Linked DNA regions of Arabidopsis thaliana. The protein of the gene in region 1 interacts with the protein of each later gene in a pairwise test. Each region holds a gene or a part of one and is shown on either strand. Other genes may lie near its edges.

Region 1 (4,514 bases):
GTCTATGAGCAATGCTCTGCTCTTATAAAAATGACTAGCCATAGAACATGAAGTTTGTAGCAATGCTCTGCTCTCTGCTGTTATCAAGATAAGAACAGAGCATTGTTTGTCTGCTGTACTTTGTGATAGGCAGAGTGATGTTCTGTTTTTACTATCTCATTATCTCTAGGCCATAGAATATGGAAGTCTTTGTAGCAATGATCTGCTCTCTGCTCTTATCAAGATAAGAACAGAGTATTGCTTGTATGGTGTAGTTGTTGTGTACGTTGTAATAGGCAAAGTGATGCCCTGTGTTTAAAATCTCATCTTCGTCTAGGCCATAGAACTTGGAAGTCTTTGTAGCAATCTCTATATTGATATGTGGACTGGACTGAGATATATGACCCACCTTGGTGCAGTTCCTACATATCTCTATGGAGCAGCAGAAAAGGAGCAGTGCACCCTGGATTCGATCAGAAGAAAGCTGGGGTACTTCAAGGCAAACAGGGAGGGACATGAATGGGCAGGTGGGTTTGACCTGGAGATGGTGCCACTGAAGCCAGACGCAGGGCCACAAGAGGTGAGCAAAGCCAAAGGGGTTGTAGCGGTTGGGGCGTGTGGGTGGGTAAGTAACTATAACGTGCCTGTCATGTCAAACGATCTCAAGGCAGTGAGGAGAATAGCGAGGAAGACGAGCGAGAGAGGAGGGGGCTTGGCTTCAGTGCAGACAATGGCGCTGGTGCACGGGGAAGGAGTCATAGAGGTTGCCTGTAACTTGTTGAATCCAAGCCAAGTGGGGGGAGATGAAGTACAGGGACTGATCGAGAGGCTTGGCAGAGAGGAAGGTCTGCTTGTGGGAAAAGGGTATTATACGGACTATACACCTGACCAGATCGTTGAAAGATATATGGACTTGCTCAACAATTCATAAATTTCAAAGTAAAAAAAGTAAAAACAGTATGATGTTGTCATTCTTAGAACGTATTATTACCGACATCGATCATTTATCTTCATTTTGTGTTTAGATGTGATATACATTGCCATGAGTGACAATTGAAATTAGCAAAGATTAAATAAAAAGTGAAATGATAAAATGATGGTACGTTCATTGAGAGGCCAAAACATCAGATCTCATCATTGGTGTTTTTCCTCAACAACTGTGAGAGATTTGTTTTGTGTAGCCTCGTCTTTTGCCGTGGTTCTTAAAGCTGTTGTTTTCTTAGCATTTTGCCTTGTTTTGCATATATCTATATGGCAATGCATGCAAGTCATTAACTAATGTATAGTGAACTATTGGTAGCATCGTGACCATGTGGTAATTAACAATCTTTGTCCTTCAAATTTATATATATGGAGGTTGTGGTCTATATGATTTGTTAAAGTGAAAAGACAACTGGTTTTCTATTAATTTGGTCGTAGGTGAAATTCGAGGGTCAAAAGTCTCTAAAAACAACGTGGATGAGGTGGAGTTTGGTGCGGCTCGTTATTGACTTGAGTTCTTCTTGGTCATTTTTTTGGGTTTGCAACAAGGGGAAGGAGGTTAAAAGAACATTTATCTTTTTCTGTTTTATCACTAATTATTGTGTTGTTTTATTTGATATAATCAATCAATAGGTTAAAAGAACAAGAATAAATTAAAAAATTCGTCAAAAACATCAAAACGAGAACTAATTTGAAACACAATTTAACTTCTAAACGACAACTAATTTGAAACGGAAGGAGTATACGTTACATTTAGACAAAAAAAATGTAATTTATGACATGCCTACACACATTGACGTAGACAATTAAAGGTTAGGTGTGTCCTTGTATATGTGTATACATGTACATACATATGTATGGGCACATTGGAGTTGGGCCGCAATGGAGAATAAGGACCAGATGCGACTATCATACACCTAACTCTTAAGAAAAAAAGCATTATTTGTGTACATAAATGGTAGACCCATGAAACCTGTAGAGCTCAAAAGTCACAAGTAAAAGAGAGAAAAGAAAGAAGAGAAGAGGTAATTACATGTGGGTTTAGAGAACAACTTTACTTAATCTCTTCTCTTTTATCATCAACCAACCATATATGGACAATTACAAGAACACATCTATGTATGAACGTTAACGTAGATAATATTATAAAATATTATTCTAAAAATTAAAAGATTCACAATTCCCATGCCTCACGACTTGTATTTTTCTTTGGCCACCTAATTTGCATCCATCATCTCTCTGTCTCTATAGAGAGTTTCTTTCAAATCCCCTAAAACCTAGAAAAACACCAAAGTCTCTCTCTCTTTTTGTTTTACTCCAAAAGCCTTTTACCTTTGAGATTTTTCTATATAATTGTCAGATCCTTCGTTACTACTGATGCTAGCTCCTTTAGGGCTTTTTCTCGTTTACTCATGTCAAATTACCTTCTTGTCCCTTGGTGTTTAGGGCTCTGATCCTATATAATAATACTTCATAGGAAGGAGAAGGAGCCCTTCGTCGTGGTTTACTTGGTCCCGATCGGAGATGGAGAGAGAATGTGGGTCGAAGGAGTTGTTCAGCAAAGAGGAGCTACAAGAAATAAGTGGAGTCCATGTGGGAGACGATTACGTCGAGGTCATGTGTGGCTGCACCAGCCACCGTTACGGAGACGCCGTTGCGAGGCTTAAGATATTTTCAGATGGAGAACTTCAAATCACCTGCCAATGCACTCCTGCTTGTCTCGAAGGTTCCTCTTCTTCTCTCTCACATCTTTCTATATGCATGTTCCATGTGAATGTGTATGGATTCATGATAGTGTCAAGAATGCAATGTAACTGTTCTTTGGCCTCGGTGAACTATGAGGCTGCTTGTATTTGCTAGATGTGATATGTTTCATGCAGTCTTTTAGAGTGTGGGATAACCTTACATTGTAATGTATCTCCATTTTATATCACAAGTTCGAGTTTCTTTCAAAGTGATCTGATTGACAGCTTTCATTCTATGATGGTAGACAAGTTGACGCCTGCTGCCTTCGAGAAGCATTCTGAGAGAGAAACCTCTAGAAACTGGAGGAACAATGTTTGGGTGTTCATTGAAGGAGACAAGGTTCCGCTTTCAAAGACAGTGTTGCTCAGATACTACAACAAAGCATTGAAGAACTCTAACGTATCGAAAGTCATTCATCGGGATGAGTTTGTTGGGTGCAGCACATGCGGGAAGGAGAGGAGGTTCAGATTGAGGAGCAGAGGGGAATGCCGGATGCACCATGATGCAATTGCTGAGCCTAATTGGAAGTGTTGCGATTACCCATACGACAAGATAACATGCGAGGAGGAGGAAGAAAGAGGGAGCAGGAAAGTGTTCAGAGGTTGCACTCGCTCACCGTCCTGCAAAGGCTGCACTTCTTGCGTCTGCTTCGGCTGCAAGCTCTGCCGTTTCTCTGATTGTAACTGCCAGACTTGCCTCGATTTCACCACCAATGCCAAACCCATTTGACTTCATTTCTCTAACTTATTTAATTCTTCTGCAAAAACTTGTAATGTATGCTCTGCATTTTCTTTAATCAGTAGCTTGTTACACCTGTTATGCGAGTGGAGAGACCAAGTAGGGATCACATACTGGAAAAAAAACCGACTTGGGGCTTGGAAAACTAACTTAGCACCACTACGAGGACATGAATCTAATCTAAATTCAACCATATAACCTCGGCAAATACACACAAGGCAGGAGATCGATAACAAGAAGCAAGCAGTGACTGTAATAGTATGCTGAATAAACTATGTCAAGAATAAAAGCATGAGACAAGAGCAGCTACAAACATTTGGATTAGCCAATATGTACTTGGAAGGTGGACGACATACATGGAGAAATACCTCCAACAAAAATTGGTATCCAAACCAGACAAATAGAATGGAAGGAAATAGCTCGAAAGCATATATCAACATACGTAGTGAGACAATGATTTGCTTAAATCCTGTCTGTTTCAAACATAGGATATTATGAAACACAAAACTGTCAAGAATTTATCCATTGCAGACATCATCAGATCTCAAAAGTGATGCAAATTATTTTCAAAATGAAACACAAGACCAGTCACAATCTGCTAAAAGGGAAAACAAAGTGCATGAGAATGAGAGGTCTCTCCATAAAAGGTCTTCCTGGTGACAATGAAACTCATTGTGTACTCTCCACAGGCGTCTGCAAAAAAAACTATGTATAAGGGAAGGAACCCGAAGCCTCTAGGCAATGGAAGAAGAGCAAGAGCTGAAGAGCAAGAGTAAGTACCTCTTTTTTTCCCCCAGTGGCGAGCTTGTATCCACTGTAGAAAAGTAAGCCCCAGCCAGACAGAGAAATAAGCACAAACTGCAGATTGGTCAGGTAACAGAAGGAATCAATTCAACAAAAAATCACAGCTTTCATTAACAAAAACACAGTGTCACAAACACATGATTGATACATACATGCTCCTCTTTCCAGTTTCCTGGGTTCGTGGGCTGTTTCCAGAAGTCAACCTTGGTAGATCCATGGTGATCTGCACAGTACACAGACAAATCCACAAAATGCTCAAAAACTCA
Region 2 (5,502 bases), on another chromosome or scaffold:
GTAAGAGAAGAGATTTGGGAGGTACTTGTGTGAGTAGCAGCTTTCTCCCCAAGTAACGCTGTACTAGTCTCTGCAACTTTTTTAGTCTAATCCCAATTAAACAGCGAGATTAATTAAAACTAAAGGACATTGATGTTGTTTTTTGGTTGATACACGCGAAAAGAGTGGAGATTTTTAATTTTGGTCAATTTGCACTATTTCCTAATTAAAAATCCAAAATTTACCCATTTCACCCTCTTATTTCTTTATTTCTTCTACTTTCGTACTATTAAAGCTTGCTCATCACTCTTTGACTTTGACTCTGTTTTTCACTCTTCTCAGATATAGCTCATGAATACGACATTCTTTCTTCGGATTCACCATATGACTTTTACTTGTGAAGATAGTAAGATACTATCTCATTAGTTACCAGTTCTTTTTATTTACGTCCATGAAGAAGAAATTGGCTTCCTTCTTTTAAATCAAGAAGATAGACTAATGGGCCAAACCTAGGTCTTTAATTATGGGCTTTGAAACAGATCATTATCCTCGTATAGCCCCGCATCGGTATTTCTGGCCCAGAAGTGCTTGGCGCCAAGTCGAAGAGAGATAATTCACTGCATTTAGGACCATAAAAGTCAATATGGTCTGTCCAATAAGGCTCTGCCATTTGGGGTTTTGTCGCAGCGACGTCGGCTGATAAAATAGCAAATAGCAATGCTTAGTCGCTTTCAGTTGGTCCCACATGCTTCTTATTCCATTCATTCTAGTCAGATTATGGATTCTTGTGGGTCCTTTTCCTAATTGTACACTTAGACTTTTCTACCTTTTTTCCCTTTTTATTTCGCTTTATATCAAAATTAACCTAACAATATATCTCATCGTGAATACAAGATCTTGACCGTCTGTTTTCAGCATTTTTCATACCATTGTCTTTTGAGTGACTGACTTATAACAAATTTTTAAATATTGATTTGACATTGGGAATCAACAGTGTTTATGTTAAGAAACAGGATATAATTATCTAAAAATTAATAATTTGTCGTGTATATATACAGTATTTGCACTATCATATTAATATTATGACTTTACTTATTTATTAGAACTGTAAATTAGAAGAAGAGAAAATAAATGGCTTTGTGTTATGATGTGAGAGAGAGCCAGTGGAGCAGCTTCGTTAATGCCGCTGCAAAAAGCATTGATGGGTTCGGTTGCATGCATTTGGATTTGGTCTGGTTGCAATACAAAACAGTAGTCGTTTTCAAAAAAATATTATTATACATTTGCAATTTATGACTACTTTTATATAGTAGTACAACATTGTCATGGATCACGAATCACTATCTTTTAATATAATAATACAAGCATAGCGACAGAAAATACAAAGTTTGGTAAGGTTTGTTCGAATTCTTTCCATTACCGAATTTAAATACACATTATTTTAGTCTCTTAGGATATTTGTATTACCTAATCGTCTTTTTGTTGGAATTGTCGACCGAAAAAAACTGAACATAAACGTCAATTTCTCGACTTTATAATAATTATCTCAATTATCTTTAAACTTTATGATAATTAATTTTGATGAATATAACTCAAATCAAAGCTATGACAAAAGAGAGTTGCTATCAAGCGAAACCCACTCGAGACGGTTCCGATTCTGTGTTTTGGTGCATGTTGAGATTATTCTGGGGCGGTGACAAACCAATTAAAAAGCTATGGTTAATTGGTTATATAACTCTAGGTAACAGGCAGTGGTTTTATCTTTAGCTCGTGAATGGAGAAGAAAAGTAAGTAGCTCATTTTAAAAACATGCTGACGATGCATGGTTTCCACGTCATCCCACCAAAAACCGGAAAAACGCGTGAAGCGTGACAAAACCGATGAGCGAAGATCCTCTGTGTGAAGTCTAACGTACACCTTCATTTCCTTCAGACTTTACAAATTAAAATTGAAAGTAAAATAAATAAATAGAAATAAAAAAGACGAGAGAGAAGTAGAAGAAGAATGATGGAGATGGTGGTTTTGTTTTATTATTTAGAGTAAGCTTCTTCATTTTTTTAAAAACTTCTATTATTTTGACCTTAAGAAGAAAGTGACAAGGAGAGGAAGAAGAAGAAAAAAAACATAATTTGAGGAAGAAGAAAAAAAATTCGGATTTGTTTTTTCAATAAATTGACTAATTGAGTACTCGTTTAAAGGAAGTGAAGAGCGGTTTTTTGGTAGTGGTGGTCGAGAAAAGAGAGAGTTTGTCTCTGTGACTCAGAGGTAGAAAATCTTTACTCTTTGTTTCTTTGATTTGATTAGTCACTAATTTAGTTTCAGTTGAATCCATATATGTCGATTTGTTTTAGAGTTTGCAGTTTGTTTTTAATTGTTTTGCTGATTGGAAAATGAGTTAACAATATGATTAGTTTTCGATGTTGCAAAAGTGGTTAATTATGGATCTGTTGGTGTTTATTTTTGGTTTGGTTTGTTTTAAAGTTGGAAACTTTGTATCCCAAACTAACAAACTCTTCCTTCTCTCCTTAGCTTAATCGTTTCTGCAGTTTTTATTTCTGTTTTGTATGATTTTGTTCTATGTATATTACCATTTTAATCAGAAGAAAAAAGATTCATCCTTTTCAATTTGTTCTGCAATTTTTTTTGCAGTGAAATCAATAGAGCGGGAAAAGATTGTTGCTTTTTTTTGCCATGGGAGTTGATGAGCTGTCTCACCTCAAATTCTCTCTTCTGCTAGAATCATCAGCCTGCAATGATTTGTCCGGTTTTAAGTCTCTAGTTGAAGAAGAAGGTCTTGAGAGCATTGATGGCTCTGGTTTGTGGTATGGGAGGAGATTAGGATCAAAGAAGATGGGTTTTGAGGAGAGGACGCCTCTTATGATTGCTGCCTTGTTTGGAAGCAAAGAGGTTGTTGATTACATCATTAGTACTGGTCTTGTTGACGTGAACCGCTCTTGTGGCTCTGATGGTGCCACGGCTCTTCACTGTGCGGTCTCTGGCTTGTCTGCCAATAGCCTTGAGATTGTTACTCTTCTGCTGAAGGGCTCTGCGAATCCGGATTCTTGTGATGCTTATGGTAACAAGCCTGGAGATGTGATTTTCCCTTGTTTGAGTCCGGTTTTTAGCGCGAGGATGAAGGTTTTGGAGCGTTTGTTGAAAGGAAATGATGATTTGAATGAAGTTAATGGGCAAGAAGAAAGCGAGCCAGAGGTTGAGGTTGAGGTTGAGGTTTCGCCTCCTCGGGGGTCTGAGAGGAAGGAGTATCCGGTTGATCCAACGCTTCCTGATATCAAGAACGGTGTATATGGGACGGATGAGTTCCGGATGTATGCTTTCAAGATCAAGCCGTGCTCTAGAGCATACTCTCACGACTGGACGGAATGTCCCTTTGTTCATCCGGGTGAGAACGCAAGGAGGCGTGATCCGAGGAAGTACCATTATAGTTGTGTCCCTTGTCCTGAATTCCGGAAGGGGTCTTGTTCCAGAGGTGATACTTGCGAGTATGCTCATGGTATCTTTGAGTGCTGGCTTCACCCGGCTCAGTACCGGACTCGTCTCTGCAAGGACGAGACGAATTGCTCGAGAAGAGTTTGTTTCTTTGCCCACAAACCCGAGGAGCTGCGTCCTTTGTACCCTTCAACTGGATCAGGTGTTCCGTCCCCGCGGTCTTCCTTCTCATCTTGCAATTCCTCGACCGCTTTCGACATGGGACCGATTAGTCCGCTTCCTATCGGAGCAACAACCACACCTCCTTTGAGTCCTAACGGTGTATCCTCTCCAATAGGTGGAGGAAAAACGTGGATGAACTGGCCTAACATAACCCCTCCTGCATTGCAGCTTCCAGGGAGCAGATTGAAATCTGCATTGAATGCAAGAGAAATCGATTTCTCTGAAGAGATGCAAAGTCTTACTTCTCCAACTACATGGAACAACACGCCAATGTCATCTCCATTCTCCGGAAAGGGCATGAACAGGCTTGCAGGAGGAGCAATGAGCCCGGTGAATAGTCTCAGTGATATGTTTGGGACAGAGGATAATACATCGGGTTTGCAGATCCGACGCAGCGTCATTAACCCGCAGCTGCATTCCAACAGTCTTTCTTCATCACCTGTGGGAGCCAATTCTCTGTTTTCGATGGATTCCTCCGCAGTCTTGGCTTCAAGAGCGGCTGAATTTGCTAAACAGCGAAGCCAAAGCTTCATAGAACGCAACAACGGACTGAATCACCATCCCGCAATCTCTTCCATGACTACAACTTGTTTAAACGATTGGGGCTCATTGGATGGGAAGCTTGACTGGAGCGTCCAAGGAGACGAGCTACAGAAGCTCAGAAAATCCACTTCTTTCCGTCTCAGAGCCGGTGGCATGGAATCAAGACTGCCTAACGAAGGGACTGGGCTCGAAGAGCCAGATGTCTCATGGGTGGAGCCGCTGGTGAAAGAGCCACAGGAGACAAGACTAGCTCCGGTTTGGATGGAGCAATCATACATGGAGACAGAACAGACCGTGGCTTGAATCAAAAGTTTTGAACTTTCATTAACCGTTCCACAAGAAGCAAAGTCAGAAAGATTCCGAGAGGTCGATGCTAATCTATTTCATTTTATTTGTTTAATGCTTTGTTATTTTTCTTTAGAATAAAAAGAAAAAATTCTTAGGGGACAAAAGAGAGTTCGTTTGTCTCTCTCTCTGTCTCCAAAGAAAAACAGAGGTGAAAAAAGGTTTCAAAACCTAAGAAACCTTGAATTACCTCACCTCACTTCCTTGATTCTTTACTATTCACAATGAGTAATCGATTTTTTTTTTTCTTGGTAACACTCTCACGCTGAATATATATGTTTTTTAGTAATAATATAATTGGAATACAGAAATGTATTTACACTTGTGAAGTTAGGGAAAGTGTTGTAATTGTTTCTTCTAAGAGTTGATCTAAGATGTTTGAGACTATATCTTCGCTTATGATTCCTTCTATATCTTCGAGCTTTAAAGCTTTTCCGTTAAACCAATCTGAACCTTCAAGGTCAGATACAGTGAGTTTGCAGATCATGAGCCACATCTCTTGGTAGCCATGAAGTCGGATTTCTTGGTCTTTTGATCTACTTGTCAATGTGATGTGATCTTGTTCAATCGTTTCATTGAGCTTACTAGATTCAAGTTCTGAAGACAACCGTCTTCTTGAAATGTTTCCTGTTACAAGGAAACAAGTATGCTTTAATAACACAAGAAAGGACATTTCAATTTTCAATACTGAAGAATTACCAACCTGGTGATGGAGTTACTCGAACACCAGCATACCGGTCATAATCAAGAACCGAGACAGGGCTCGAATCATCGCAGCTTCCACACTCTTCTTCTTCTTTTGTTGATCTCACTTCACAATTTACTAAATCTTCTTCTTTGGACCAACAACCATTACTTTGGACCCAATTCTCCTTCTCGATGTTCTGTCTCAACTTAGTTTCTTTTCGTTTTCTTCTGCTCTTACGTTTCTCCTTTCTACGCTGCATCAGTTCTCCAATCTCAAGC

The links.
Region 2: the proteins of ULT2 (region 1) and AT5G58620 interact in a two-hybrid assay, tested with the Arabidopsis thaliana proteins (one large-scale study listed by BioGRID).

Annotation. Positions count from the first base shown.
Region 1 is NC_003071.7:8,964,766-8,969,279, reverse strand, and holds ULT2 (Developmental regulator, ULTRAPETALA), read left to right. Parts: upstream 1-2,036; 5' UTR 2,037-2,484; coding exon 2,485-2,686; intron 2,687-2,950; coding exon 2,951-3,435; 3' UTR 3,436-3,724; downstream 3,725-4,514. Other genes in the region: AT2G20830 (folic acid binding / transferase), read left to right, coding at 399-910; AT2G20820 (uncharacterized protein), read right to left, coding at 4,043-4,137, 4,225-4,258, 4,401-4,471. UniProt on the Arabidopsis thaliana protein: Putative transcription factor that acts as a key negative regulator of cell accumulation in shoot and floral meristems. Negatively regulates the size of the WUSCHEL (WUS)-expressing organizing center in inflorescence meristems.
Region 2 is NC_003076.8:23,691,289-23,696,790, forward strand, and holds AT5G58620 (zinc finger (CCCH-type) family protein), read left to right. Parts: upstream 1-1,970; 5' UTR 1,971-2,244; intron 2,245-2,628; 5' UTR 2,629-2,670; coding exon 2,671-4,494; 3' UTR 4,495-4,852; downstream 4,853-5,502. Other genes in the region: TRM31 (uncharacterized protein), read right to left, coding at 4,853-5,163, 5,240-5,502.